Rhinolophus ferrumequinum: one gene and its partners. The protein of the gene in region 2 binds, or shares a complex with, the protein of the main gene of each other region. Links are inferred from orthologs where the notes say so. Each region holds a gene or a part of one and is shown on either strand. Other genes may lie near its edges. The genes, in order: OSGEP, TPRKB and LAGE3.

Region 1 (10,414 bases), on a different chromosome or scaffold from region 2:
TCTAACCCTTTATATTTTATTACTTCCTCCTCTTTCTTCTTCTTTTTTGTTTCTTTATCTGTTTCCCCGTTAGAATGCAAATTCCAAGAGGAAGGGATTTTTTGTTTTGCTCCATGCTATTTATCACTATTATTTAGGAGACTGACTGGCACACAGAAGATATTCAATAAATATTTGCTAAATGAATATATTCAGCAACTAATATGGGCCAGTACCATGCTATACGCAGGAAATACAATGGTGAGCAAAATAGACATGCTTCATTAAAAAGTATGCCAAGTGCCTATCTCCTCACGCCACCCCTCTCACACTTACCTCAATGAAAGACAGGATCCCCGAGAATGAGACGTCCATCCCCTTTACAGTGTATGGCAGCTCAACTAGTTTCTTGCCTCTATGTGGGAGTGAATATGAGGTATTAAGCCTGTAGTCAGCTGGCTGCTCATCCTCCATGCCCCTCCCAAACTGCATTAATATACATACAGGGAAATCCCTGCATCCCACCAGTCAGCCTCCTTCCACCTTATGGTCCCTTACCGCTTGGCCATCTGTTCAATGTTGTAGCCCGGACTTGGGTCATTGGAAATCTATCAGATAGAAAAAGAGGATGAAGTCAGGTATCCAGGAAGCGTTTAAGAAGCTAATTTACTGCTTTCTCCCTCCATTTCCATGACTCCCCCAAAATTCAGCCACATCTTATGTTCTCTGCAACCCAATGGCTTACCTTCAGCACTCGAGCAAAACGATCCAGACAATTACCCACAGCAATATCGATGGTTTCCCCAAAGATGCGGTAACGGTGTTCTGAATATGCAATCACCTAAGGGTGATGAGGATGTCCATGAAAGCTCAAGTCTGTAAAGAGGAGTATTTGGCTTTGGGGAAGAATATAGCAGAGGATCAACATGGCCACTAGAGCATCCAAGAAATGGAAAAAAACCACTTTGCCAAAGCCTGAGTGGGATTTTTTATAGCTCTTATCTTAGAAGAAGCTCACACATACCTACCTTGAGGATTCCCAGAGCAGATTCCTAAAGAAGATAGTCTAGGTCAGGGCAGAAGCAAACTGCCTTTCAAATGCTAATTTCTAGCTTGGAGGCTCCTTATACTCATATATCCCTTAAAAGCTGTACTGACAGTGTAGACTAGGGAACAGGCTTTGCTGCTTGGAGGGAGGGAAGTAGAGTCCTTTTAGAGTATCTCTCCAGGGCAGTAATATTTGCAAACAAGAGAATAAGTAGAGTTGAAAACTCAAAAACCCCATATTGGGTTGGACTAATGGCCCACCCAATTCAGCACTGGCAATCAACTTGAACTTCTAGCACAGAGAATATTTACCCACTGACACATATCCTTCATACTTCCGACAGTGAGTGCTTCCTAGAGACCATAAGAAGTCCCTTTCCCTTCCTGCTAGGGAAGGGAATTCTTTCCCTTCTGCTAGGGATTTCTTTCCATTCTGATGGAAAGAAATTCAATCAGGATTTCATGGGAATGTGTGCTTCACCTTTAATAACTATTTCACACAGTGAAGTTGTGTGAAAGCCTTTCATAGGTCTTACTCTGTTGTCAAAAGGCTGGTGACAAAAGGGGAAGGAAAAACCCCTGCCTTTCTTCTTCTATCATCTACTCCTCTCCACCCAAATCATCTTCCTTATTTTTTACACCAAAGCAGGCTTCAAAAGGGAAGAGGAAAAGAGAAGACTCAAGACTCGATCACTGCTCCTCTTAAATCTTTTCAGCCTCCATTGCTAATTCCACACCCCAAGGCCCTCACCTTGTATACCACCCGACAGGTCCCAAGCAGCTACTTGCCCTTTACCTGTCAGAGTTCCCACATCATTTTCATGGGAATGTGTGCTTCACCTTTAATAACTATTTCACACAGTGAAGTTGTGTGAAAGCCTTTCATAGGCGGGACAATGACTATTTCTGACAATAACTCTATCAGGTGTTCTGTGGCAAAGGAAGGCTGGAGATCTCCAATCCCAATCTAAGAAAGGTCTCATAAGATATCCCAAACAACTTTGGCTTCACCTATAAACTTAAAATATCTTCTACCATTTATAAAGTGTTTTAAAAATTATTTACACTTTCACACTCTTAGGATAACAACTTCCATATATTTATCACCAATAGCGTAAAACAAAACATGTAACTACTATAAAGAAACAAATTGGGTAGTGCCTCTTAGTTATAATTTCTAACGTTCATAGAAAAAAAAATAAGCTTCAAAACAATTAAAGTGAAAATCCTTTCATTATTTTGAAGGCTTCAATCCCTACCATTCTTTCCTTTTTTAAATTGGAAATTCTTCATCTTTATAACCACATACACAAAAGTCACTTAATGCTCTCTCCAATTTGCAATGTTACAAACTTTGTTGTGGATTTTCTAGTGTATCACATTTTAGGTTCAGACAAGCTCAGCTTTGTTCTTGCAGTTCCTGCCACTCAGATAGAACACAAAAGTGGCCAGTACAGTGCATCAGAAACTAAGAAGGAATGGTGGCGTACTCTCAATACCTGTGTATTTCCACCGCTGACATAAAGCACAGTTGGGTTGGTGGCTCCAGTGATGAGACGGCCCATCTCAATGTGGCCTATACAGTGGTTCACACCCAGCAATGGCTTATTCCACAGTTGGGCCACAGTACGGGCCACAACGGCCACAGAAACTAGTGGGGCACCCATGCCAGGGCCTAGGGAGATAGAAACGGGAGTTAGAATCCTACAGAGAATGGAAAAAAACAGAGCTGAGGGAAGGAAGGGATGTGAGAGGTGGAGTCAGGGTAGTGGTGGTAGCAGAGGCAAGCTATAGGCTATTTTGACATGGCCAAGCTCCAAGGATATTCTTCCACTGTCAGCCACTCACCCAGCCATACCTTTGGTGTAGGCAATGCAGTCAATATCCTGGGAGGTTAATCCAGCCTCTGTTAGTGCCTCCTGCAGCAGGTCCAGGATAACAGCTCGGTGGTGCCTGGCAGTATCACCTGGAAGAAATCCTAGGAGATGAACACAGGTCAGAGATCATAGGGTTTTTCTGTAGCATAGGTAGGTAGAAGTCAAAAACAGGCTTTTAGTAGTGTAGGAAGAGTCCCTTTCATTCTCTTCAAGAAACCTGTCTTCCAGGTGCTCAGATATATTACTTCCAGCCTGCTCAGCTAGGCTGAACAGCCTCTCAGAAATGCCCTTCTTCATACCCAACTCCTACTCAGCCTTCAGGACTCATGTCAAGTGATATCTATGTTATACCCTGCGGTGATCTTCTCTGTGACCCTACAAACTCTGTGCACGATCATAGCATTGTATTCAACATACTGTATTTAAATATGTCTGGTATTTTTGTCATAAGCCTGTTTGCTGTAACATCTTTGCTGCAAGCATTTCTTCCGTAAACATTTTCATGGCACAACTAATTGGTCCTAAGGCAATTTCACAGTAAAAGATAAAATAGCAGAAAATAAAAGAGGGACATTGAAACATGAAAAATTAGTAACAAAATTTTCAAAAACTTTATTGTAAAAAACGAAAATACATTGTCTTCAAAGTCTTTTGTTCATAGTATCATACTTTTTTTTTTTGCTTGCTGATTTGTCTCCTTGTTCAGCATTGCCTTTTTTCTTTTTTGCTATAATTTCTTCCTTTGGTAAGAGAGGTATTAGTTTCAACTAAAAAAATCGATAATGAATGCTCTTGAAGACTGTTGTGAATTAGGAGCCTCTTATATTTGCCATAGCTAGGTAAACTTTAAGGTTTGACAGGTGGGAGGGAAGACTGTGCTCACCGAAGGATTTGGAAACTGATGTGGTTTTCCAGTACAGTATGTAATCTGGCTTTACACGTAGCTGTTATCATCCACTATTTCAAGGTCATCACGTCTACTCATCACTGTAGAGACTATTATGAGAGCTACAATTTACATAATATAAAAACGGGAGTAACTACAAGAACTCCCTCAATGAAGAAATGAAACCAAACTGTCAACTAGCTTATTACATGCATTACGTATGACAAATGTAAACCAAACAGTCAACCAGTTATTTTATATCTTTTTAGAGTGAAATTGGCTTATGGTCAGTTAGTTATGCGGTGAAAATGTAGCAAAAATATCTAGAACTGTATTTAACATGTAACAATTATAGTATTATAATTACCTGTAGTTTCCCCAGTTTAATCATGAGCATCTCAAAACACTGGCTATTTTATGCACCTCTGTATTCCTAGTGCCAAAATGCTAAACATACGTATCTTTCTAACGAGTAGCCTGTCACGTCACCTGTTCAAGGAGGCTTTTCAGGTATATGCAAATCAGTTGCCCTCTCCTATATAAACAGGTGTTTTGGGGGAGGGTAGGCAAGATATAACATAACTTACAAATAACACCTATTAAAAGTTGTAATGTGTCTGGTGCTTTTATTTAATTCTCAAGACCCAATGCAATGACCCAATGATACAGGTATTATTCCCATTTTAAGAGTAAAGAAATCCAAAAACAAATACTGAATATGAGTACTGACTGCAAAGCCCGTCACTTCTGTCTGACACCTAACCTGGGAGTCTACACTCCTTTTCATTCTAGAATATTTTTATTGCATCTGCATTATTTATCATACTACAATATAAAGTTGTTTACATATCCAACTCCACAGCAGGCTCATAACATCTATTTTTGTATCCTGCAGCAAACTGACAATTAGCATATAAAAGATGTTAAATAAAAGCTTAACGAACCCTGAAGATCCAGGTCCAAATGCCTGTGACTTTTCTATCCATCAGCCAGCCTTGTGATTTTAATACTGTCACATAACATCGGAGACTCAGATCAAAAGCTCTATGACGGGACCATGCGCTCTTCACTAGTGTTTAGAAGATGGAAGGTGATGGTGTGCGGAGAAGCGCGCTGCAAACTCTAAGTTCCCTACTCACCTGTGCCGGGAGGCGTGACGTAAGTCCGCCGCGGGTTCGCCAACACCTTGCCATCCCGCACTACTCCCACGCCAATCTTGTTGGCGCTACCTTCAAAACCTAGCACCGCCGGCATGGCTGAGCCTGGGAGTAAACGCCGGCAGGGTTCCTAGCTACCACTGCAGCGGTGGAACCCTCACCAGTCCTTGCTGAGCCTCAGATTCCCGAGCGCAGAGGAAGAGGAAGAGAGCCCGCAACTGCTAAGTGGCAGCGCGCAACCAGACACACTCCGAAAACCGCCGGCGGGTGACTTGACCGCGCTGGCCACGCCCCCGTCGTCACGGCGACCGGTCAAGGCCCCTTCCAGGACCTGTCCTCCTAACTGCCAGGGACGCTGAGCCGGCATCTACTCCTTACATTCCCATCCTTTGCTCTGCTTCTCTCCGGTGGCCCATCCTTGCCTTCCCCACTGTTTTTTTTCCGTCTTGCACAGCGTTGGAATCTTCGGTCAGGGTGGCACAAGAAATCGTGCATCTGGCACACGGATAAACAGTCCGAGAATGGAGGGTGGGGGCCTTTAGTCCCCCGGATACTCTGGAGATGCAAGGGAAGGCGGAGGTTCTCGGTCACGTGGTGCCAGACAGACTAATCACCCACGTTTGTCTGCCACGTGGTGTCTCAGACGACGTGACCACGCCAGTTACCCACGTGGGGGCTCAGCGTGCTCCCTTCTTTGTGCTCGGGTAAGGAGGTGCCAGGCTGGGACTCAAGTAGGTCAGATGGAGTTGCTGTTCTTTTTTGCCCATCAGAGGGGCTTCTCTAGACGTCTGATCGGCTAGCCTAAGCCAGGACCCTTAATTAAGGCGCTAATTGGCCTGAGGACAGATCTCATGAAGAGGGTACAAGGCACCGAAATGATCTAGTGTTGTGGGTGAGGGGCTGAAGGGCCTATGGCGCACGGAGGCGGGGAAAGAATTCAAAGATAATAACGGGCCGCGCGAAGGTAGAATCTTTTATCCCCAGCCTTAGCTGGTTTCACCACTTATTTGCGTTTGTAGGCAACGCGGTAAAAATACTGCTTCGTTGGGCGACGTGGTGCAGGAGGGCGTTCGTTACAGTGATGCCGAAGCGTGGGAAAAAGGCAGCAGTGGTAGAAGATGGGGAAGAGCCTAAGACTGGTAAGAGAATGAAATGAACCCTTCTCCCTAGAGGCTGCTTCTAATTTCCTGAATAAACAGGAAGTACGGACCGACGCACTCCATTTTTGCAGTTTGTGAAGAAGTCGCGGGAACTGCAGGCTTTCAGTGGGTCTATAGTTAACTCGATGAAAGTTGGATGCCGCCAACTTTTATCACTATGTATTACTTATTTTATAGAGCCAGAGGCCAAGAAGAGCAAGGCGGGAGCAAAGAAAAACGAAAAAGAGGCAGGAGAGGGGCCAGTCCTGTATGAGGACCCCCCAGATAAGAAAACCTCACCCAGTGGCAAATCAGCCACACTCAAGATCTGCTCCTGGAATGTGGATGGGCTTCGAGCCTGGATTAAGAAGAAAGGTTTAGATGTAAGTGGAATTCAAGGAGGGGGGAAGAGACAATCTTTGGTATTGATCTTGGGGTTTAATCACCCTCTCCTATTTTAGTCCCCAGCATGTAGGTTTTATTGTTCCCTTGTAGGTAGTTTTCTTGTGGGAGAGGTACAAGAAGAGGCTTCAAGTCATGCCACCTGTTTCCTGCACATCCATTCCTTCAGTTCCATTGCCATTGTCTTAAACTCTTAATGTCCTCCTCTCTTCCCCAGCATGTTGAAAAAACCTTGTTACTGAACTTGCTCCATTTTATCTCCAGCATGTCCTCTATTTCAATAACTGGTGTTTACACTGTGTAGTATACAGATGATGCATTATAGAATTCTACACTTGAAACAATCTTATTAACCTGTGTCATCCTAATAAATTTAATAAAGTTTAAAAAAATTAAAAATAACTAGTACTTGAAAATCTTAGCTATCCACTGCCTATAGGAAAAACAATCTCCTTAGTGTTGCATGTGTCAGTCTTACCTCCTTCCATTAGTTACCAGTTACAGAATTGTTTAAATATTGTGCTGCTAAACTGTTCAACTCCTTATGCACAGGGACTGTGTATCTCTAGTACTTAACACAGATTCCTCAATAAATGTCTGCTGAATTGATACTTTTTATACTTATTTCACTCACAGTGGGTAAAGGAAGAAGCCCCAGATATCCTGTGCCTGCAAGAGACCAAATGTTCAGAGAATAAACTACCAGCTGAACTTCAAGAGCTTCCTGGACTGTCCCATCAGTATTGGTCAGCTCCTTCAGATAAGGAAGGGTACAGTGGTGTGGGCCTACTCTCCCGCCAGTGCCCACTCAAAGTCTCCTATGGCATTGGTAAGACTCTATTGATTTCCTATGGACTGAGTTCTTCCAAACCAATTGCTAGTGCTCCACTCCAACCCCAATTCTTGATTCCTTTATTCTCTACTTTCCCTTTTCTTATGCTTCTTTATATTGATACTGTTTCATCATTTCTGTAGGCGAGGAGGAACATGATCAGGAAGGCCGAGTGATTGTGGCTGAATTTGACACATTTGTGCTGGTAACAGCCTATGTACCTAATGCAGGCCGAGGTCTGGTGCGCCTGGAGTACCGGCAGCGCTGGGATGAAGCTTTTCGCAAGTTCCTGAAGGGCTTGGCTTCCCGCAAGCCTCTTGTGCTATGTGGGGACCTCAATGTGGCTCATGAAGAAATTGACCTTCGAAACCCCAAGGGAAACAAAAAGAATGCTGGCTTCACTCCAGAAGAGCGTCAAGGCTTTGGGGAATTGCTGCAGGCTGTGCCACTGACTGACAGTTTCCGGCACCTCTACCCCAGCACGGCTTATGCCTACACCTTTTGGACCTATATGATGAATGCTCGATCCAAAAACGTTGGTTGGCGCCTTGATTACTTTTTGGTGTCTCACTCTTTGTTACCTGCTTTGTGTGACAGCAAGATCCGTTCCAAGGCCCTGGGCAGTGACCACTGTCCCATCACCCTATACCTAGCACTGTGATACCTCCCCCAGATCACCCTGAGCCTGGGAAATAAACTCCCTATACTAGCTTTAACATCCTGCTCCCCAACTCTAAAACTGCTCTCTAGAGAACTCTGCACTGTATTTCCCTTCTAAAAATGTGAATCCTTCAACCAGGCTCCTAGTTACATATGGGTTTCCTTTAAGCCCAAGGTTTTGGTTTTTGTGTGTGGGTGGGTTTTTTCTTTTTTTACATTAAACAAAAGCTACTGATGACTTCCTTTGAACTGTCCATATGAAAATAAAGAGCCATAATTTCAAACTTCCTGTCTTTCTATTCTACTCCTTTGTGAGACCATAAATTTCCCTCCTTTCATAACAGATTAACAACTGGAAAAGGGTAGAGTCACCACATTTATTTACAAGCACAGGATGAATCCCTCCCCTCCCCCAAGACAGCAACCCTACCCAGCCCAGTTAAATGCTACAACTGGGGTGTAAGGTTGGCAGGAGGAATTAAGGGAAACACAGGACTAGGGGAACGTACCCCACATTAAATAGTTATATACATATCAGTTCCTGTGGTTCTGTACAGAGCAGCGGCTGACCCCACCCCCATAGGACACGGAATGGGGGGAGAGGAGACTGAGGGTACTGAGGCCAGAGCCAGCCCCTGGAGAAGTGCAATAGCAGCAGCAGGTCCTAATGGTACACAAGAGGGAGGGAAACCCCCAGGGCTACCCACCCCCACCCTGCCCTGGAATGTATAAGGGACAGGAATGGCTCTCAGGGAGCTTATAGGAAGGACAAGGCTAGAACCGTCTTTTAGGACCCAGGTTTAGGGGCAACATTTCGCCTACTTCACCCTAAACACGGCAACCCTGGGAGGAAAGCAGATGGCCAGCAGTGGTCTTACCTACCCCTCCAAACCGAGGTGAGGGCCTGGTTCTTTCCTACCTCTCCCCAGGGAAAAGGAAGGCAGCTGCTTGGCTCCACTTCGAGAAGCCCAGGGAGCCTTTTATCATGGCTCCCTTTGTAGTGTCACTGTCCCCACCAGGGAGGGGTCAGGCACAGTCTGTGGTTCATCGTGGGGCTCAGGAGAAGTTCTGGACAGGGTGGCTGACCTTCATACAGGCCCAATAGAGGGCCCGCCCCAAACACAGCACAGCCAACAGGATGACAAATGCCCAGGCTGCATAGATGCCTCCATATCGCCGTGCATACTTCCATGTCCCAAACTGACAAAAAAGAAAGAGGAGGTTACTGTGGCTCTCTCACCCCTTTCTTGGAGCCCTAGTAACAGCAACATAGAACTCTGGGTCCCTGTTCCCTATCCCTGTGTAGCCACCTTCAGGAACCTGCTTAAAGGCCCAGTTCAGCTCCCCCTAGGAAGGAACATACTCATACAATCCCAAACATGTCAGTTTTTCTTAATGTCTTACAATAACACCAGGTTTTCTAATAGCAACTCCTAATTTAAGCACTATTCCATTGTCCTATCCTCTGCATAAAGAAGATGGCTGTTCTTTACTCCTATAGTAACAATGAAAACTGTTTATCAGTTACCTTCAACTTCAGCTCATCTATACATTAAAACACAAAATAAACAAAACCCCCTTGATTTCTTTCACTTCTTTTAAGGTAGCCATTTCCAAATCTTAGCCTATAGAGATGAGGCTGGAGAATGAAAGGGGTCGGATCATAGTTACTCACAGCAAGGCCAGTGGCAGTGACTGCCAAGAGCAAGCCAAGCAAGAAGCAGCAGATACATCTCTTTCGTGGATATCTGCGCCCAATAGATGACCTGTGTGGAGGCAAACAGAAATGGATGCCTGCAATGGCTCTGTAATTTTTATTCGACACGTTACCCGATTACTAGCTCAATGATGCCACTCTCTAATCACTTACACTTTCCTGCAGTGAGGGCAACGGGCCAAAGTTCGGTCTGTGAACTCTGTCCACTATGGAGAAAGAAAAAGGGAGAAACCAACTAATAGTACAAGAAGGGTCATCTTCAATGAGAGTCCTGGGGCAGGAGAGGGTGGGAAATGGGTCCTCTTAGAACAGGCCTGTTCAGGATTCATGATCATAAATCAAAAAGTATATTTATCTTTCCTCCTGGTTTTTTTCCCCAGGGCTTCCCAAAACCCCTCCTCACCAGAAAAGTATTCTTGCAATGTCCACAGATGACCCTGACACCCACAGGTTGTGGTTCTGGACTCAGAGGTCCTGGGTGCACAGGCCCCAGGTTGATGATTCTTTTGCTGTACAAGGAAAAAACTATATTTAAAAAGTTTTTAATCCTAAGGATCCCTACACTGTGCCTCCTTCTTAGCCCCCACCCTCTGTCTCACTCAGTTCCTCTACTTCTCTATACATTTAAGATACTCTGCCCCCCCAACTCTACCCCAGAGACTCCTTGAGGAAGAGCACTCCTTAAACTATAGGTCTCTTTTTATCTCAGGATAATTGA
Region 2 (10,876 bases):
TGAAACCCTGTGCTATTCTGATTCCAGAGCTTTTATCTGTGACCTACAATTTTTCTTTCTGAAAGCTTTAGGATCTTCTTTATCTCAGATTTCCTGAAATTTCATGATATGCCTTAGTGTGGGTATTTTTTTTATTACTATTATCCATAATGCTAGATACTTAGTGAGCTTTTTCAGTCTGGCAACTTATGTGCATCTGAGAAATTTTTTTACTTTATCCAATTTTCTTTTCCAGGAACTTCTGTTAGTTGAATATTGGATTTTCTGAAATGTACCTCTAGGTTAATAATATATTGTTTCTCTTATTTTCTATTTTTAACCTTTTTGCTTTTTTTAAACCAAGAGAATTTCCTCAGCTTTATTTTCTATTCTTCTATTGATAGTTTACATTTTCTGCTATTTATGTTTTTTTATATACATTTTTAATTTCCAAGAACTAGCTCTTATTTTCCAAATGACGTTTTCCCCAGGCACTTCATTTTAAATAACGCTTAGATAATTTTATTAATTTTGCAAGAAAAATATGTTCTGACAAGTGATTATCACCACTAACTATAATAAGTACCCATTAAAACCTCTATTTTCTATCAAAGTCCTTACCAAAATTTTAGCATATTCTGAAAATTCTTTGAAGTTCAACTAATTCTTTTTCTTGAGGAAAGACATACAAATACACAAGGCCGATGATGTACAGATTAGAGGAACACATATTTGTGAATTGATTCTTTTTTTAATGGATGTATTATCTTTGCTCTCGAGTTATCAGTTATTTTTAGGTTTCTTCTGTTTCCTGCATCTACTGTTTTCGTTCTTCTTTTTTTTTTTTTTTTTTCCTGTTTATTGATACCTGCCTCTCATGTTGGAGGTATTCTTGAAATATCCGGTGACTTTTGCCCATTTCTTTGTACTAAGAATTGTGGCACTTTAAGCTGATGGACACCCTGGTTGTGTTGTGGTAGATTTGTAATAAGGTGGTCAGCTTGCCTTTTGTTTCCTTTCCCCATGCTATATACATTTAGGTTTTATTTTTCTCCTTTCTGACCACTACCGTCTTTGATAACTTTATTGCTCTCTCTCATCTACCATTTTGTCATCTCTCCCATTCTCTTGTGAGTTTTCAATCTGTAAAAATTCCCTTATTGTCATTTTGGCTAGGGAGTACAGACATAGGCGTGCGTTCAGTCTGGCCAGTGTAATGAGACTATAAATGAGCCAATAAAAGTGGGTTTTGGGTTTCTCCTCAGTCTGGTAAGTTGATTTTGATGCATCATGTTCCAGGAGTGTAGGCCATTGAGTACCCTAAGTCATGATCTGGTCCTACACTGTCAACCACAAACATTCCTACCGTGGAGGGGATCCCATCCAGGGTCCTGTCTGAACCACCTTTCTAGCATACTTTTAATAACTGGCCCAGAATTATGTCCTGGAAACAAATTCATTCATGTTATTCCCCTCTTGGAAATCTTGCATGACTAATGGCCTTCAGGAGCCACTTCTAAGTCCTTGACAAGGCCTTCTGTGATCTGACTTCCAGCCGACGTTTCACTGCGATACTCCTCTCCCATTTGTCAGTGTGCCGGCCATTTCCTGAGAACGCTGTGTTGTGCATGTTTATACCACTGTGTCTTTGTCTTTCAAGTTGTTTGCTTGGCTATAATGGTTCTCTTGTGGTTTCTGTGAGCAAACCATTCTCATTTTTGAAGCCCCATCTCTTAAAGCCTTCTCCCAACAACTCTACTCCTCTACTGATTTATTTCTTTTTCTACATGGTACCTTGTGTCATTGTTTAGCATTTATTTCATTCATATCTCCTGTTCTGTGAAACACAGGCTCTAAGCATGGCCTCAGATTCCTTCAATCCCCTCCTCCTCCATGAAGGTGCCATCTGCCACCTGCACCACATTTCTTCATTGCCTTGCCAGTATTGTGCTCCCTGAGATGACTAGAGCCCAGGTTATACTGGGCCTGCATGGCCCTTCCAACCCCCACACCACATCCCTCCACTTTAGAGTCGGAGGAAATGCCACACTATGGGCCACAGGATCTGGTTTTCTGAGCTGCCACTGAAGGGTGAGATGATCAGAAGTGTGGAGGAGTCAGCTCCTGTCGCATCCTGCACGACAAGAACTGTGGGAAGCGAGAAGGGCGGCGCAGGGTTAAGAAAGACTGTAGCCAAAAATAGAGTCCAAGCGGGGCCAAGGGACTCCAGCCTCAAGAACTGAGCCCCGAATCAGGCCAACGCATAGCTTTTATTGGTTAACAAATGAGAAAGTAAAGCTTGTTAATCTCAAGATCTGTGAATTTCACACATTATACTAGGAAACTGATTCAAACCAATCACCCTTGCCTGCAGGCAGTCAGAACTGTAAGTCTCAGGATGTATGTACCTCCCCAAGGGACAAAACCTTTATGCATATGAATAGATGGAGAACTGATGTTATCACATCATTGAATCTCTTCCCAAGCAGGTTGTGGGAAGGAATATAGCCACAGAGGCAGAAGCTCTCCTTAGGTGGGTGGCTGTACCCACCTCTATCAACCCCATAAGTTCTCCAGATGGCTCCTATGCGATTGTGCCTCTCTTAGGTGTTCCTCCCTCAAGGAATCTTACCCATCATTGACTAACCAGCCATCCTTTGGGGCCAAAATGGGAGATATAAGGTGTAAGCACAAAGGTGAGATAAAGTCCCTGAAAGGATCAGTTTCACGGACTCTCCTTTCTTTAGGGGTAGGTACGAGGGGACAGACAGGTAGGCTGCTGAATGACAACAGCTCCCACAGTAGAGATCTTTGAATAATGAAACATGAGACAAGGAGGAGCCTGACAGGCAAATTCCCCCTCCTGTCTCTCTTCTGTGGACTACTCTCAGGCATGGTTTTTCCTTTCAAGTCTCCCAGGGAAAGTTCAGCCTGCTGAGCAAACACACATACCAAACAACCTGTGTTTCCTTCTGGTTCCTTGTGAAGTCTACCAGGAAGGTGATACATTTCCTCACATTGCTTTCCATCTCTCCTTGCTTCATTTCCCTTTTATCCTCACTCTCACCACCCAAATAAAACAGCAGCACTTTAATCCTTGCCTCAGGCTCTGCTTTGTAGGACCTAGGTAAGACACTAGTATTTGTTAATAAATCTGGCAAAGTCATACTTTTTAATGTTCAACTATGCATATGAGAGCAGGAAGTACCAGAGCTCTTCCACTGATTGGACATTGAGATCCCACACATATTCATCTTTTAGGAATACAGAAATGTCAATTACATCCAACATAACAGTTTTTCAAGAAGTACAGTTTTCATTTTGTGGGTTATTTTCTCAGGACATGGGAATAGTTTTTGGAGTCTGGGTGTCTTCTATGACCCACTTGTTCAGATAACACTACCAAGGTTAGATTTACTTTAACAGATGATAACACTTACGTATATTTATACAAGTCTATATTATTGCAGGCGAGAACAAGGTTGATATTCTTAGGAAAGAACTTAGGAAAGTTCTCAGTTAACACTTCATCAAATCAGATCTTTTGAACTAATTTTATGATACATAATGATCTCTCTTCCTGTGCAGCTGTAGGTAAAAGGATCATCTTTACCTCTGAGGTGCCTTTTTGAAAAACAGTAAAATGCATCCTTTTTTAAGTGTACAATTCTATGAGTTTTGACAAACGCATTCCGTTTTGTAACTATAATTAAGAACAGTTTCATCACCCCTGGAAATTCACTCATGTCACTTTGTAACCCAACTGCTCCTACCAACCCCAGACCTGGCAACCATTGATTTGTTTTCAGTTCCCTGTAGTTTTGCCTTTTATAGAATGTCGTGTAAGCGGAATCATACAGTATATAACCTTTTGAATGTGACTTCTTTCATTTAGCATGCTTTTGAGATTCATCCATGTCACTGAGTGGACCCATAGTTCATTCCTTTTTATTGCTGAGTTAGTACTCTGTTGTACGGATATACCCTAATTTGTTTACCCATCTGCCAGTTGAAGGATTGGGTTTCCAATTTTTGACTTTTGAACAAAGATGCTGTAAACATTTGTGTACAGGTTTTTATGAGCACATATGTTTTCCTCTGGAGTGGAATTGCTGCTATGGAGTAAGTAGCTATAAGTTTAATTTTATAAGAAACTACCAAACATTTCCAAAATGGCTGTACTGTTTTATAATCCTGGCAATAAGGTATAAGAGTTTTGGTTATTTACATCCTCACCAGCACAGTATTGTCTGTTTTTTTCTTTTATTCTAGCTATTCTAATACAGATATAGTGTTGTCTTGTGATTTTAAAATGAGCTTTAGAAATATAATTGATGTACAATATACTGTACATTTTTAAAGTATACCATTTGATACGTTTGACATGTATACATTCATGAAACCATTATCACAGTTAAGATCAAACATACCTATTACCCCATTTGCTCGTGCCCCTTTGTAATTCCCCTTTGCCACCCCATGCCCCCTACCCAAGCAACTGCTGATCTGCTTTCTGTCACTCTAGACTAGTTTTATATAAATGGAATCATACAGCATGTCGTATTTTTATGTCTGGCTTTTTAAATTTAGCATAACTATTTTGAGATTCATCCCTGTTATAGTATGTAGCAATAGTTGATTCTTTTTATTCCCAAGTTGCAGTCCATTGCATGGATATACAATTTGTTTATCCACTCACTCACTTGATGAACATTTGGGTTGTTTCTACCTTTTGGTGGTTACAGACAAGCTGCTCTGAACACAGACAACTTCAAGCTACTATGAATGGTGACAACTTTTTTTAATGCCTATTTTCTAAACAACTTTAGGCATAATTTATAGTCTATAAAATGTACCCTTTTAAAGTGTGTAATATGATGAATTTTGACAAATTCATATTTCCTTGTAACTAACACATCAAGATACAGAACATTGGCTTCATTGCAGAGGTTCTTTTGGGGTCCTTTCCAGACAAGGTCTCCCATTCTCCCAATCCTAGCAACCACTAATTTGCTATTAGTCACTGTAGAATAAGTTTGTAATTTCTAGAATTTTGTAGAAATGGGATCATGCAGTAACATAATTTCAGTTTCTTTTTTTTATTGCTGATCACGTTTTTAGATTCATCCTTGTTCTTGTTGCAAGTATTGTTGCAAGTATCAGTAATTCATTCCTTTCTATTACTGAGTAGTGTTTCATTGTATAGATTTACCACAATTTGCTTAACCATTGACGTGTTGTTGGGCATTGGGTTGTTTACAGTTTATGGCTATTATGAGTCAATTTGCTATAAACATTCATGTATGAGCCTTTGTGTGCACACATTTTCATTTTTCCTGGGTAAATACCAAGGAATGAAATTTCTGGGTATGATAAGTATATTTTATAAGTAATTTTTTATTAAATTATATATTTTTTAAAGAAACTGCCAGTCTTTTCTAAAGTAGTTATACTGTTATATTTAGACCAGCAATACATGAGGGTTTTAGTTATTCTGCATATTGGACAACACTTGATACTATTAGTCTTTTAAATTTTAGCCATCATATGGGTGCATAGTAGTATTTATGTTTTTAATTTGCATTTCCCTGATAACTAATGATGTTTAGCATCTTTTTATGTGTTTGTTGACCTTTCAGGTATCTTTTGTGGAGTGTCTGTTCAAATGTTGCCCATTCTTAGTTACTTAGGTTGTTTCTTTTATTTTTGAGTTGTACTTCTTTATAGAATCTGGATACAAGTCTTTTGTCAGAATAAATTTTTACTAATATATATGTATTCCCATTGGTTCAAGCCACAGTTCTCCCTGCTATTCCTTAAACAGGATCAGAGCCTTTGAAGTCTCTTTGTTGCCTTGAATGCTGCTCTCCCAGATACACACACAGCTTGCTTCCAGACCGCCTCCAGTCACTATTCAAATGGTCCTTTTTGGTGAGATATTTCTTAACCGTCCTATTTAAAATAGTAATACTCACGACCTGGCATTCCCCCTTTTCTCCATTTTTTTTCTCCATGGCACATATTCACTGACAGCTGTGTTTGTTGTTTACCTGTCCTGTGTAAAGTATTGACCAGAATGAACCCCAACCATAAAGAACATGGAAAATAACTCTACAACCTGTTTAGGGGATTCCCTCCTCTCTTAGAGGCTGGTACATTCAGGGATGACAAACCAAATTCCTGTGCCTGGTAGATGAAGGAAAGGTTGGTTTCATTAATGTAGTCACCAATCTCTTCATAAGTATCCAAGGCAAATAGCCTAGCTCCATCCGCTCTAACAGATCCTCCCTAAATGACCGCACCGAGAGCAAAAAGGCAACCGAGTCCCGCGTGCCAAGAAAAAAACTTGAATCTCGACCATCGGAGACATGTAGAGAGCTCTTCTCGGCCAATGCTTTGCACAGGAAGAAGGTGAAGACGACTCGTTCAAGGCCCAATACAAGTTAGGGACAAAGTTGAGGCTCGCACCCAGACCTCGGCCCCGGCCCACGCATCCTTTCCAGCCCTCTCTCACGGGAAGTGACGGACGGAGCTCTCCTTCGCGTCCGCTAAGGGGACTCACGCGGGGAAGAAGGACCCGCGGAAGAGTGGGCGGGACGGCCCACCGGAAACTCCCTCCCTCCGGGATCCGGAAAGACAGATGCTGCGGCCAAGCTTCCGGAAGTGGTGGGCTTTGTTTCCGCGGGGAAGACACTCCAACACGGACGGGGCAGGCGGCGGTGAGTCCTCCGGGCGGGGCTGGGAGGAGAAGGTTGGAGGTGGGAGAGCGGAGGGCCGATCCCGGGCAGCTGTAACCCAGTTATTTTGAGTCCACGCCTGGAGCTCCTTCGGCCCTTGTTTAACAAGCGCCTGCCGAGACCAGGCCCTGGAAATTTAACACCAAAGTGATAGACTCAGTCTTTACCTTCAAGGTTTATACACCTTAGTGAGGGTACAGAAAACCAATCAGGTCCCGACTCATTGAAGTTGTGACGAGGGATAAGAAGGAGCTCGTATAATAGGGACCCAGCTCCGGGGCTCTGGGCTCGCTAGTATATAGACTCTTTAACGGCGAGTTGATGGGAGGGAGGAATTGAGTCGGGAACTCCCTACCGGTGAGGGCAGAGGTGGGGAGAAAGCTTGGTGACTTGAAGCTAAGAAGGCCATTGCGGCGGTAGCGGCAAGAGCGCAGTCAGGGAGGAGATGCGCTTGGAAGCAGAAGAGGGAGGAAGGGCCCAGGTCATAGAATCCGGAACGCTTTGACATAAAGTTGTGGCCTTATCACAAGAGTAGCGGAAGGACAAGGTTTGGTTTACAGTTTGAAAGGGTCACTTTGCCAGGTGGAGGTTGGATGATAGGAGAGCGGGAATTTTGAGGCGACCGCTCCTAAGAGGCCATAGGTGTGGATGAGAGATGGTGGCCTCGTGTGGTGGCGGTGGGTATGGGAGAGAAGTGGACTGGTTAAAATGTTATTTAAGAGGTAAAATCGGCACGATTTTATTGATTAGAAATGGGACTAGAGATTAATCTAAATTTCTGGCCTAGGTGAGTGAATTATATAAAACAAACTATTTTGACATGTGCTAGGGGTCCGTTTTACTAGTGTAAAAACAAAAACCACAAAAGGTTTTTTTTCCTCCATGATTATATGTGCTCATTATATTTTGTGTGCTCCCTATAAAAAATTCAGAACATGCATACAAAAATATTTTTTATAGAGGACCATATAAATTACCTATAATCCAGTTACCAAGATGGCCATCTTTTGGTGTGTTTCCTTCATGTTTTTGTTTTCTGTATTCATCTTTTTGTATAATTGGGAATATATTTGTTACACATTTCTGTAGTTTTTCCGTTGGACACTATCATGACAATAAAGATTGAGCTGCTATGTGCCGGGACATTATTCACAGATATTTTACTCCTTATTGTAACAGAAAAAAACAGATATAATTCCACCAAGTCAGAGAGAACTTTATTGATGAATTTTCCTTCCAGTGTTTTTTCTTTTTTACCTTTTAAAAACCCCATGATTTATGCCACATTTTATGTTTTGTTTTCCTGTCAGATATTTTTACTTCATGTTATTTATTGCTATTTTCACATATCTTTAACTAGTCTTTAAGATTTCAGTTTTTAATGGTTGTTTAGTCACAACCAGTCCCGTTGTTAGCTAAATAAGTTTTCAACTTTTTACTATTAGGATGATGAGAGGAACTTTTTATTACCTAAATTCTCAGATTTCCAATTTATTTCTGGAGAAAGAGTCCTAGATATGAACCTACCAGATAAAAGGGTAAAATGAGCTTATCAAATTGCCTCACCCAAATATCTCATTAAGATGTTGATTAAAATGTTTTAAAGATCACATTTTTGTAAAACTTTGTTTTCCCATTCAAGAATATTGACAGGTCAGCCAGTAAAGGAACGTGCATTGTCAGGCAAGTTAAGGAAGTTTTTATGGTAAGAGAGAAAAGTATATATCAGACTGAGCAAAGACCACTACAGTCTGGACTACACCCCTAAAGGAGACTTGCAGCCCCGAAAGAGGGGGTGAGGAGTGTTTTATAGGGGCTCTGATGAAAGGGTGGCATTGCTTGAACAGAAAATGTTGACTGCCTGTAAGCCAGTAGCTATACTGTTTTGTTTTCTTGTATCACAAGTTCGGCTCTGTCTGTAGGTACAGGTCAACAGACATTTTGTTGTTTTCTTGCAGACATGGCTTTGTCCATAAGTCAAGGTCTCTGAGACCTGACATTCATAGACCTAGCATTAAGTCAAGGTCTCTAACATTCAGGGACCTAACAAATATGGTTACGTCTTTCTAGTTATTTAAGTTGTGTCTCATGCATCTTTTATATCTTTATACTTACCCTGTCTTTTCCTTCTTAAACTTATGTCTAAGAAAGGGCCAATCTTATTAATTATTTAATAGTTGTACCCTCTGGTTAAATTGCATGTGTGAACTGAATATCTTTGAGTCAAGTGTAATACTTCTTTTCTCTAGAATTATTTTTTTCCTTAATATGTGTGTCTAGGTTCTGCTAAAATTTAAATAAAACAGTGAGATCAGAAAGCTAAAAAGGCTAAGTTCTAGTGAGGTTTCATTAATACCATAGGTAACCTGTGGTCTAAAAAATTCCTGATGGACGGCTGGTTGGCTCAGTGGTTGGAGCGAGGTGCTCATAACCCCAGCGTCGCTGATTCGATTCCCACATGGACCAGTGAGAAGCAACAGCTTGAGCTTGGAGCTGAGCCGCCAGTGGGTGGCCAGTTGGCTCAGTGGTTGGAGTGTGGTGCTCATAACACCAAGGATGCTGGTTCGATACCCACATCGGCCACTATGAGCTATGCCCTCTACAACTAGATTGAAAGCAATAACTTGACCCTGCAGCTGAGCTGTGCACCCCACAACTAGATTGAAAAAACAATGACTTGACATGGAGCTGGTGGGTCCTGGAAAAAAACACTGTTCCCCAATATTCCCCAATAAAAATTAAATAAAAAAAAATTCCTGGTATTCTGCACCTAGTTGTCTATTGGGGAAGCTGCCCCTCAGCCATGCAGCTGAGCTTACCTCATCTGTACAACCAGAAGAGCAGGCAACAACCTTGATCCTTTCCCAGGAATGATAAAGGAAGCTAGAAACAGCTCAGCAGTGTGAGGAAGAAGACATCTCATGAGGATGCCAAAAGTGCTTTGGGGATGGATTTTCCTAGTTTATCAGTTCTATCATCTTATTATTTTTGAAAATTTATTTGTTAGCAAAGATATTTGTTAAGGAATTATAATGTTCACTTTTCAACAAAAGACTCTGGTCTTTTTGGTTTTATATAATAGAATCCTGCTTATCTACGAAATGCAGTTAACACATCAGCTGGACTTATTTCCCGAATGCAGGGTGACCCTTCTGTTATTTAAAGATGTAAAAAATGCTGGAGACTTGAGAAAAAAGGCCATGGAAGGTGCCATTGATGGTTCATTAATAAACCCTGCGGTGGTAAGTACAAGTGAGAATGAGTGAGGTCTGCAGGGCATTTAAGAATGTGTTCATTTTCCATGATGTTACAGGTTAGCCTAAAATTGTCATCTTCAGGTAAAAAGTTCTTGTCTAAGCTGTCGAGTTGAATCACATTCGGCCAACCTTGAATTTAACAGTGAATGGAAGATGAAGTGCTAGGCCCTGCTCTAGGAGATAGGAAAGGTTGTAGTCTGGCACTGACATAGTGGCAGATAAGTAGATCTCCATCTCATCTGAACTACAGAATCTCTGCAAAGGAAGCATTGCATAGTGATGAAGAGCACACGTGTGAAATTACATTTCCAGGACTTAATCCAAGCTCTGCCATTTATTACGACTTTGAGCAAGTAGAAGCCAACCTTTATAGAGTGCTTACTCTGTATCTGGCTTTACACATACTTGCATTCTTCTAAGTGCTTTACATATACTAACTCACTTCACAACAACTCTATGAAGTAAGATTACTTGCATCTAACAGATAATCTAAGGAATTTGCACACGTTCCCTGGGTAGTAAGTGACAGAGCTGAGATTCAAACCCACACATTCTTTGCCTTGGTTTCCTCATCTACTGCATGTGAATAATACCAATTTCATAGTATAGTTTTAAGAATTAAAGAAAATAATACAGGTATAAAATGTTCAGAATATGGCCTTTCCCATAACATTAGCTCTTAATGTGTTTTTTTTTAATTTTTACTGTTTGTTTTTGAAGCTTTAAAAGTCTGATTTTCTGAACACGCAGGCCCTTGAGATAGAAATTTGAAAATATAGTCCATAGAAATTGTGATGAAGTAAAACAGCCTGACGTTGGAGTTACCATGAGAGGGCATGCATCTTCAGAGTGCTCCAGATTCTCTGTGTGTAATTCTTTTTGTTCTCTTTGGTAGATCATTGA
Region 3 (10,078 bases), on a different chromosome or scaffold from region 2:
CTGGAGTCTGGAGATGGCCCCATGTACACCTGCAGGCCCCAAATGCTGACATCCTGCAACACGCAGCAAAATGTTTTTCTGCAGTCCCTTTGTACCAAGTGGCAACCCAGGAGGGCGTGCCTCCCTGTCCTCTGCCCACTGTGGGGCCCTGACACCCATTGCCTCGAGGAGGGGCCTTGAGCAGTCCTTGCCCCCCAGGGACATGGTGCAACTTGCAGGCTCTGTTGTGATCGTGATGACACTAGGAGAAGCCAGGAGAAGTGGTGGCCTCTCAGACAGAAATGGTCTGGCACCTGGACTGAGATGCTTGTGGTGCCGTTTCCCAAAGGCCCAGGGAGGGGGGCAGACACAGAGGACAGCAGCATTAGCTTTGGGGTGGGCTTGTTCAGTTGGAAGTGCCCAAGTGACAGATTAGCTGTGCCCACAATTTGCCGACACCTTTCAGGCCTCCCATGCATGCCTGGCCAAAACCAGGCCTTGCCATCTCCTATAGTTTCAGCAGGGGCACTGCTTAGCCAGGACAGGCAGTCCTGAAGCAGATGCAACAGCTGTGGCTAGGCTCAGACTACGAGCTCTGAAAAGCTTGCAGGAGAGACAATGGACCTGTCCACCTCCAGGGCCCAGCTAGAGCTGCCTGCCTCCCTGAGCTCCTGGGAACTTGACCCCCTTCCCACCCTCTCGGGGTAACCAAATGACTCTGGCATTCCTTATCCCTTGCTGTCTTCTGTACTCACTCTCCTGCTTTTTCTTCCACTTCATTGCTCCTTCCTTCTCTGGCTCCTTTGCTGGTTCTTCCCCTGTCCAACCCCACATACACACATACATCACCTCTTAATGTCGGGGGGCTCCAGGGCTGTCATGCAGGGACTCTGCTCCCGCTCCCCGCACAAGAACGCAGGATATGGTGAGGCCAAAAAGGACCACCCACGGAGCCATAGATAGAGGAGTCAGACCACTATATACTCTCTGGCAGCTGGGTTGGAGACACAGGGAGCAAACATCTGCTAGCACCCCTAACAAGGGCTCTTCCTGCACCCCAGTCTCACTGGCGGCTGGGCAAGACACATGAAGTAGGATCCACATGATCCGCAACCTACTGTCCGCTTCTCTGCCTGCCAACCAACCAACCAACCTAGCCACGGTAGCTATATCAGTGGCTAATGGCTAACTGGCCACAGCTGATGGCCGTCTACTACCCAAGCCAGCACCTTTCCAGTGAGGCCGAGAGCCTGGAAACTGCTCTCTGGGACTCTGTCCCCACAAGGGATCTGTCCCTGGAGTCCTTCTCTTCTTTCAGGGGAGCTTGTCCACCTTCACTGCCACGTCTGTGGTGTGATTGTGAGACAGCTCCTGGCTCTCCTGCAGACATCTCATTCACGCTTTTAGCACACATTCACTGAGTGCCTGTCATGTCCCAAATGCTGGCAACACTGGGACTGGAAGACACACTTCCCTTCCTCTTGGCACCCACATTAGCCTGCCTGGATGAATGGCAATGTCACTCAGCCAGGCTTTTAATGACAGGAAGCAGGAAGCTACCTTTGCCTCTCCCAACTCTCCCTTCTCCATAGGCAATCAGGGAACAATATTTTTGGAATAATCCAGAGCTGTTGCCTTGTAGAATGTTCCAGAGTCTGGATTTGCCTGAGTCCTTCCTCATTAGATTCAGCTTAAGCATTTTGACTAGAGCACTGCCAAGGGCGTGCTGTGTCTTTCCCTCCCCCCACCCCCACCATCAGGAGGCACGGGGGTCAGGCTGTCCCACTCTTAGGGGGGCTTTGTTGGTTTGATCGCATGGTCAAGGTGGAGGCTGCCAGGTCTCTCAGTGGCAAAGTTGCATTTTTCCCTTCTTAATGCACAAGTAATCTGGGGTAATACCTTGAGACCCTGTGAATATTCTCTTCCCCAACAGCCTTTATCTAATGGTTTCACCATCCAAAGATGATTCTTCCCTGAATAAATTGCATTGGTAGCTGCAAATGATGGTTTTCTGATTCTTTCTTTCTACAATTATTAGTTGGCATTTCTCCTTTTTCCCTGCTCTCTTTGCTCAGTTATCACAGTTATCACAGTGGATGTATTATTATTATTATTATTCAACAACTTAGAATCCAAGAGTGTCATTTTAGGGGGCAGTTTTTATTGGACTATAGCATGCGTACAGTAATGTACATAAATCATCACTTTACAGCTTGATGGATTTTTAAAGTGAATACACCTATGTATCTATCCTCTCCAGATCGAAATACAGAATATTGCCAGTACTCCAGCACCTTCCCCAGTGCCCCCTTCCAGTCATACTCCTCTCCAAAAGGTTTAATATCCTTTTGGATGCTCAAATTGTTCTAGCTTTGGTTCTTCCTGGTTGACAACTATGTCCCTTTGACATGCCAAGTTTTTAAAGCACTTCCTTACTTTCTGGTCAGGCCATGGCACTGTTGGGGAGGCTCAATTTGATCACGTGGTCAAGGTGCAGGCTGCCTTGACCACGTGATCAACTCCTAAGAGTGAGGTACTCCAGGCTCATCTTGTGGTTTTTCCTGTCCCAGCCCTGGAATCAGCCATTTCTCCGAGAAGGTCTGGTTCCTTTTAGTGGAGAATGTCATCGTGGACCCAAGGTCTGCGCGCAGGGTGTGCTCATTGCTATCAGGGTGTCATTGCTTCTAGACTCTTTCAGTGGACAAAACTAGGAAATATATTTTTAAGAGTTCATACTGCAATCCCCAATTTCAATCCAGTGTCACAGTTCTTTGTCGCCTTCCCTTATTCCACAGTGAGAATTCTCATTCCCGACAGCATAGATATATTTACTCATTTGCTCTAACAGATAGAGTCTGTCTTAAAGTACCCCCAAAATACTTTGAGTCACCTCATCACTACCGTTGCCAACAACAAACATCTTAAGAGTAAGGCCAGTGACTTTTGTCCTTAGAATACATCCCGTGAAGGGAGTACAGTCAGACTGCTGAGTTTAAAAGGCACCCGAATTATTTTCTCTGTATGGTTTTGTTATAAATTTGATATTCAGTTAGCCTCATTTGTTTTTGTTTTTATTCAATTTTAGCATTTGATCTTTTTCACTCTTTCAAACATATTTTTGGACATATAAAATATTACATGGTTCAAAGTCAAAACTACAGAAAAAGGTATATTCCAAGAAATGCTATACCCATGTCAACCTCCTCCAGGTGACCATTTTCATTAGTTTGGGGTATCTCCTTCTTGTGTCTTTTTCCCAATGAGTATTTGTGTCTGAGAGTGCGTGTGTGTCCATGAGTGTGTGTGTCCTTTGCACTCTGCTTTTTTCACATAACAATGTATCCTGCAAATCATTTCACTTTCTCATTAGAGGTTTTCGTTCTTCTTTTCTTTCCATTGCTGCTTAGGACTATTGCATGAAGGTGCCATAGTTTATTTCACCAATTCCCTGCTGGTGGACATGTACATTGTGTCCAATAACTTTCTGTTACCGATTAGGTTATAATGAGTAACATTGTACATATGTTGTTTCCTATTTGTGAAGTAACTTCCTACCTGCAGATTGCTGGGTCCATGACAGCGATCGAGTTTTGTACTTAGTAATACTCTGTTTTATTCAACAAGCAACAAACCACCTATTGCATAAACTGCACTGAACAAAAAAAATAAAGGTACTAGAGATGGTATATCAACAATATAGAAGTGAACAAAACAAGGTTATAATTTCAGATTATTAGAAATGCTATGCAGCATATTAAAGTGGGCAAATGTGATGAAGCATGCCTGGGGGTAGTATGTTAGACTGGTGACCCAGAAGTCCTCTCAGAGGTGACATTGGAGCCAAGATCCTAATGACAAGAAAGAGCCAGCCATGGGAAAGTTTGGGGATAGTCTTCCAAACAGAAGAGTAAGTGCAAAGGACTGGGGGTGGGTCACCTCTGGTCAGGAGTACAGAAAACCCTCAGAGGTTGCAGAGAATGAGGAAGCAGGCAGGTGAGGGTAGAGTGTGGAGGAGCTGGCAGCCAGGTCACCCAGGGCTTTTATAAGTGTGGATCCTAACAAGATACCTACTAAGAAGGGATCTTAGTGGATAACTGGGTTCAAAAAACAACAACAACAAAAACAAAAACAAACAAAAAAATCAAACAGAGCCTAGCAGCTATTTCTAAACAGGGGCCTCTCATGCAAGCCCTGCTTTGGGAGACGCCTACACTGAACTGCCTGCCTGTACTGTGTTCCTGCCATCTGAGCCAACCCTTATAAAGTAGTTCCTGGAATCCTATTTCAACGAATAAGACTGAAACTTTCCCCATCCAACCAGAGCTGTGTAACTACACCCTCATCAGCATCTTCACCCACCAATCAGAGAAGCTCCATTCTAACCAATCATGACAGTACTTTTTGGACCAATCAAACTGTGAGGAATTGGAGTGTCATTTGCATGAGGATGGACCAATCAGGGACCAGGGGCAAGACTTACTTCTGTCTTGGAGAGTGCACTTTCCCTTTACACAGAAGACTGAAGAGTGTTTCCCAGGCTGGAGCTGAAACACTGAAGACCAAATACACAAGAAGTCTCAGCGGACCAGAGCGGAGAAGAGCAAGGGCAGAGTGGAGCAGACTGGAGTGGAGCAGAGCACAGCTGTCTAGCTGGAGATGGCCCTCACCCTGGGGCTGCCTTGCCCCAGAGCCACCTCACAGCCATGCTGTTCCACAGCTGTGTTGTCTCATAATTGAGCTGTAACACTATTGAACATTCTCACAGCTGGGCTGTGTCACAATTAAGCTTTTTGTGCTGAATACATTGTCCTTCACTACATCCCAAACTGGGGATTCCAGGTGATGTTGAATTGGCGCCAACAACCATCAGTTGACATAAGCTACAGCAAAGAGGTTAGATTTGATTCCAAGGGCAATGGGAAATTGTTTTAGGATTTTAAGCAGGGATGTGAAATGATGTGATTTATACTAAAAATCAAGACCTGATTCTTCTGTGTGGAGAACAGGCTCTAGAGGAGCAAGTGTAGAAGAAAACCAGATAGGAAGCTGTTCAGGGAGAGATGGTGGCTTCCACTGGAGACTAGCGATGGAGCAGTAGAGAAAGTGGACTGATTAGGGGCTGTTTTGAGCGGGAGATCCAACAAGATTTGATGATATAGCTCAGCTTTATGTCCTTCCTTATAATTACAAAAGAGGAAAATAGAAAACTACCATGACAACCACTGTCAGAAATTTCATGTCACTTTAAGAACTTATTTTTGATTAAAAATGTCATATAAGGTCATCGTCAAAAATTTGCAGGCAAACACAAGATGGCAGTTATAATCCAGTGTGCCGTCACACAGTGGTAGTGAGTATTTACATTTTGGTGTATTGTTCTAAGTTTCAGTGCATGTATACGGTAATTTACTAAATTGGGATTTTAGTGATTTTGGTTCTGCATCCTGATTTTTCACAGATGACATTAGCCCTGTTCGCACTGCCACTACTTTATCTCAGGTCCCTATTGTTTCCCTCCTTGCCTCTGTGTGGGTCTCCCTGCTGTCAGGCTTGACCTTCTCACCGCCCACTTCGTTTCTAAAAATGCAGATATGATTGGGCCGTCGTCCCCTTTAAAGCCTCCTTTGGTTTCCCCATTTAAATTGGCAATGGGGGTGGGATGCAGAACACCATCCCTTGTGGGTTACCGGACCTCACCTCCCTCCACAAATCACTGCAAGTACGTTGAGCCACATCTCTTGGGGACATTGGGCCCAAGGAAGAGACAGGGCGGGAAAGCAGCCACCTGTGTGGTGCCTCACACGAGGTGGGTGGAGGGGGCTAAGGCAAGACGGGTTAGGCGGGCACACTGGGGGCCACATGTTGCTCTTAGGGGCAGAGCTTCATGAGGGAGGGCTCATTGGCTAGGCCACCACAGGGTCTCCCGGGGCCCACGGGCTGCCGGGAACTCACCACACACCCGGAGTCCTTACTAGGGCCCAGTGGCGGCAGGCCTCCTGGTCGGAGTCAGGGCGAAGGGGCAGAGCTTCGGAAAGGAGCCGCAGTTCCTCAGCCTCCCGCGGAGAGCGCAGTCAGTCGGTTAGACCAGCTCTCCGAGGGCGGGGTCGAAGGCGGAGCGCCGCGGCCATGCAGCGGGCGGCAGACGCAGGCTGCAGCGGAGGGGAAGGCCAGGGAGGCCCCGGCAGTGCGGCCACGGCGGCCCCAGCGTCTGGCGGAGCTCCTCGAGTCTTGCGAGCACAGCATGGCCCAGAGCCGGGCGGAGACGCAGCGTCCACGGCCAGAAGACCGGGAAACCGACTACATACATTGTATCCTACCCGAAGGGACAGCGGGGAATACGCTGGGGGCTGTCTGCGGGGAGGGGGGCGTTGGGTGCAGAGGGACGGACGCGGCGGGTGTGGAAAGGGGAACAGAAGGAACCAGGGGCAGCCTGGGGGTATACAGGCCAGGAGGAGTCTGGAGGATAAGAAATGAGAGCAGGTGGGGAACGGGGTGGCTGGGGGCGGGGATTAGGGCCTGGGGTGCCCTGGGAGTGCTGGAGGCAGTCCTGAAGGGAGTGAGACTAGTCAAGGTGGCCAGAGAAGGTACCCGAGGCACAAAGTCTCTGTGGATGGTGCCTTGACACAATTTCCAGCGCCCTCAGTGTGCCTTTCCCGTCCCCCTTGGAGGCTGACATCGCCTGTGGGTCTCTGGCCCCAGATGCGGAACCCCACCCAGGGGCGGTTCGGAAGGAGCTCACAGTGAGCGGCAGCGTCCTAGCGGTGTAAGCTCTAGGAGGGTCAGGAGGTGGGGGGTGGCAGGGCCAGTCTCTACCGAGAGGCGCTTTATGGGAGAGGTGGAGACACTCAAGGGTTAGGTCTAGGGGAGGGACTTGGTGCAGTCTAAGGGGGAGGTGTCGTAATGGAGACGGCAAAGGGTTCAGATGCCTGAGGGGCAGAGCAAGGATGGGGAGGGGTCACCACCTCTAACTTGATTTTCTTTTTTCCTCACATTTAGCCGCTGGAGAGCTGATGATTCTCGCCTCCTCCGAATATCCATCATCAACTTTCTTGACCAGCTTTCCCTGGTGATGCGGACCATGCAGCGCTTTGGGCCCCCTCTTTCCCGCTAAGCCTGAGCTAGGAAAAGGGGGCTGAGGCCCAACCTTGTGTCCCATCCTAGGCAATGGATCCTTCCTACGACAGCAATTATTGCAGTAGTTGCCACTTTATCATGGAGCCCTAAATCTTTTGCCTGTACCGGCCCTTGGACACTGGGGGTTCACTTCATTTGTTTGGTCCTTACTGCAGACAACAACTGAGCTACTATTCCATGTCTGATTTTCTTTTAAACTACAGCACCTAATATTCTTGCCTTTGTCCCAGGGTTGGAGGAGAGGTCTGGGATTCAGATATTCAAGCACTACCAGGTAACTGAAGACAGTTTAGGAAATGGAAGATGGGTCCTGTCGTTCAGTATTAACTACTGTCAACATTTTGGAATCTTTCCTTAGTTTTAAACCTGTATTTTATATAGTAAATGTATAACAATAATACATAATGTATAATATTTTGTATTTTTACTGATATTTTTAATCTAACATGAACGTTTCCACTAAAAATTCTTCAAAAGCATTATTGAATGGAGGCATAAAAGATACATTATAATGTAATTATTGGCCATTTAAATTACTGTGTTTCCCGAACATAAGACCTAGCCAGACAATCAGCTCTAATGTGTCTTTTGGAGCAAAAATTAATATAAGACCCTGTCTTTATATTATATTATATTATATTATATTATATTATATTATATTATATTACATTACATTACATTACGTTACATTATATTATATTATATTATTATATTAAAGACCCAGTCTTATTTTACTATAAGACAGGGTCTTATATTAATTTTTGCTCCAAAAGACACAGTAGAGCTGATTGTCCAGCTTGGTCTTATTTTCAGGAAAACTGTATTTTCAATTTTTTTGTCCTATTATAGGTAATGGATGAGTCAATGGAATTCTTGCATATAAATCTTTACATGATTGTTTCCATAAGATGGATTCCAAGAGGTAGATTTACTGCGTTAAATATTTATGATTTATTTTTTAAAGCTGTCAATCTACAGTGCAGAATTGCTCTCCAGAAAATGTACCCTCCCACCAGAATGCTGGTTTCCCACTTCCTTGCCACTGCTGGGTCTCCTTGGCAAATATTTTTAAAAACTTAGTTTGCATGAGAAGAGCAAACAACCCAGATATACTAGAGTCAGAGCCTTGTGGGCTGACTGGCAGTGTGTCAGGTCAGTGAAGAAAAGTGCTGGGACAATTGGTTAAGCCTTTCGTTGGAAGGAATGAGCTCCCTATAAAATACATTGCATTGCTTGCTAAATTTACTTATTCTAGCAGCTCCTTTATAAGTGCCGTCAGATTTTCTCCAAGATGATCATGTTTTCTCAGAATAAAGGCAATTTTACTTCCTTTTCAATTTGGATGCCTTTTATTGGTTAGTATCTTTTCTCGTTATGGCGTTGGATTCTCCTGCTTCTCTCCATGCCTGGTAATTTTAGATTGGATGCCAGACATGATTTTCCCTTGGGGGCTGGATATCTTTGTAGGCCTAGACATATATTTTGAGCTTTGTTCTGGATGCTGGAAACAGTCGGATCCTTTAGAGTCTGGCTCTGAAGGTTTGCTGCGTGGGCCCTTTCAGTGTGGGAGTCATTTTTTTTTCCCACACGACTGAGGCAAGACCCTTCCTCCTGAGCACCCTGCCCGATGCCTCCCAAATTGTGAGGTTTACCATTCTGTGTGGTCACACAGCAGCCTAGCCGTTTGTCCCCCCCAACCTTTCCCTAAGGAAAGAAGAATTTATGGGACTGTGCCTCTCTGGGATTGAGTTTATAATATCCTGAGTCTCTCCATCTGGTCTTCAAGAGAAGGGTCTGCGGTCAACGACGAGTAAGATTCCTCACGGGTGGGACAACTCAAGCCAGACGGGACCCCGTTGGGACCCCAATGAGCTGTTATAAGAAATAATAGGAGGGAGCCTTGCCCCTCCTTCCTCTTGTTCTTGTGGGAAGCTGCTGCTTGCCTCTGCTGCTCCCTCTCACCTTATTGTGAGACAGGCCCATTAGAGCGATAAGATCAAGCTCTTTCTGCTCAGCTCATGGGACAGTTTCACCCCGAGAGACTCTCTCCCCCAGGGTGGTGCATACCGCACCTTAGTCATCTTGGGACGATATGCTTCGGCTGCTTTGGGACAAATAATTGGGTATTGAAATCATTTTTCTGAAATGGTGTAAGAGTTTCACAGACCCTGCCTCTAATCATGTGATGTGCATTGTTTGTAATCAATAAATACTGTCAGTGACCCAATTCGGGGCTCCAGTCTCTTGAGGCTGCGAGTCCCTTGGTCCTCTGTGATTTAAATATATATGAGTCTCTGTCTCTTTATTATAGTTTAACCCTCGCCGCCTCCCTCGCCTTCCCACAGCTTGTGTTGTGCAGGTCGCAACAATTCTGGCCGGTGGGGACAGCCTCTAGTGCCTGTCCTGCTTGAGCCCTGGGCATCATCCTCTTTCATCCTTTCGGGTGGTCCTTCCCCCGGCCTGGCGTACTTTCCTCACACACCTGTGCAGATCAGTGGTCTGCAGAATTCTCCAGCGGGACCGTCTGCAGGTGTGCAGGGTCCTCTTCCTCTGCCGCTCTCTTCTCTTCCCCCAGAGGTGGAAGCTGAGAATTTCAGGTCCATCTCCTAAACTTGGGGTATCCACTGGGCTCTGCCAGGAAACTCCTCTCCCTCTCCCGACAGTCGGCTGGGGCAAGTGGCTGAACTCTCATTTGCCAGAGATCACCGGTCTTCATTCCCTGATACCCGATTTCTTTACAGCCTATTTCGTATACTTTGTGTGGTTGGGGGTGTCTCTCAAGTAAGTGGCAGGGTAAATCTGGTCCCTGTTACTGCATGTGCGTGAACAGAGTCTACCATTGTAGAACGTGGAGACCGCTGATATCGTGAGCTGGAGGGAGAGAGAAGCTGTTGATGGGGTCATGATGATGGCGATGAAGAATCTCGCCTGACAGTATGCAGCAGCTGTAGTGACTACGGGGGGG

What was found.
Region 1: TPRKB (region 2) and OSGEP share a complex: the UniProt entries of both Homo sapiens proteins name them as parts of the EKC/KEOPS complex. The link is inferred for Rhinolophus ferrumequinum from reciprocal best matches to the Homo sapiens genes TPRKB and OSGEP.
Region 3: TPRKB (region 2) and LAGE3 share a complex: the UniProt entries of both Homo sapiens proteins name them as parts of the EKC/KEOPS complex. The link is inferred for Rhinolophus ferrumequinum from reciprocal best matches to the Homo sapiens genes TPRKB and LAGE3.

What each region holds. Positions count from the first base shown.
Region 1 is NC_046289.1:71,612,744-71,623,157, forward strand, and holds the start of OSGEP (tRNA N6-adenosine threonylcarbamoyltransferase), read right to left. Parts: upstream 5,299-10,414; 5' UTR 5,044-5,298; coding exon 4,929-5,043; intron 3,005-4,928; coding exon 2,885-3,004; intron 2,702-2,884; coding exon 2,526-2,701; intron 821-2,525; coding exon 725-820; intron 588-724; coding exon 538-587; intron 395-537; coding exon 316-394; intron 1-315. Other genes in the region: APEX1 (DNA-(apurinic or apyrimidinic site) endonuclease), read left to right, coding at 6,028-6,085, 6,284-6,468, 7,124-7,316, 7,463-7,980; PIP4P1 (type 1 phosphatidylinositol 4,5-bisphosphate 4-phosphatase), read right to left, coding at 9,036-9,179, 9,655-9,745, 9,850-9,902, 10,100-10,205. UniProt on the Homo sapiens protein: Component of the EKC/KEOPS complex that is required for the formation of a threonylcarbamoyl group on adenosine at position 37 (t(6)A37) in tRNAs that read codons beginning with adenine.
Region 2 is NC_046296.1:18,109,981-18,120,856, reverse strand, and holds the start of TPRKB (EKC/KEOPS complex subunit TPRKB), read left to right. Parts: upstream 1-6,586; 5' UTR 6,587-6,698; intron 6,699-9,798; 5' UTR 9,799-9,817; coding exon 9,818-9,958; intron 9,959-10,868; coding exon 10,869-10,876. UniProt on the Homo sapiens protein: Component of the EKC/KEOPS complex that is required for the formation of a threonylcarbamoyl group on adenosine at position 37 (t(6)A37) in tRNAs that read codons beginning with adenine.
Region 3 is NC_046284.1:6,158,903-6,168,980, forward strand, and holds LAGE3 (EKC/KEOPS complex subunit LAGE3), read left to right. Parts: upstream 1-5,929; 5' UTR 5,930-6,105; coding exon 6,106-6,287; intron 6,288-6,613; coding exon 6,614-6,742; intron 6,743-6,975; coding exon 6,976-7,090; 3' UTR 7,091-7,730; downstream 7,731-10,078. UniProt on the Homo sapiens protein: Component of the EKC/KEOPS complex that is required for the formation of a threonylcarbamoyl group on adenosine at position 37 (t(6)A37) in tRNAs that read codons beginning with adenine.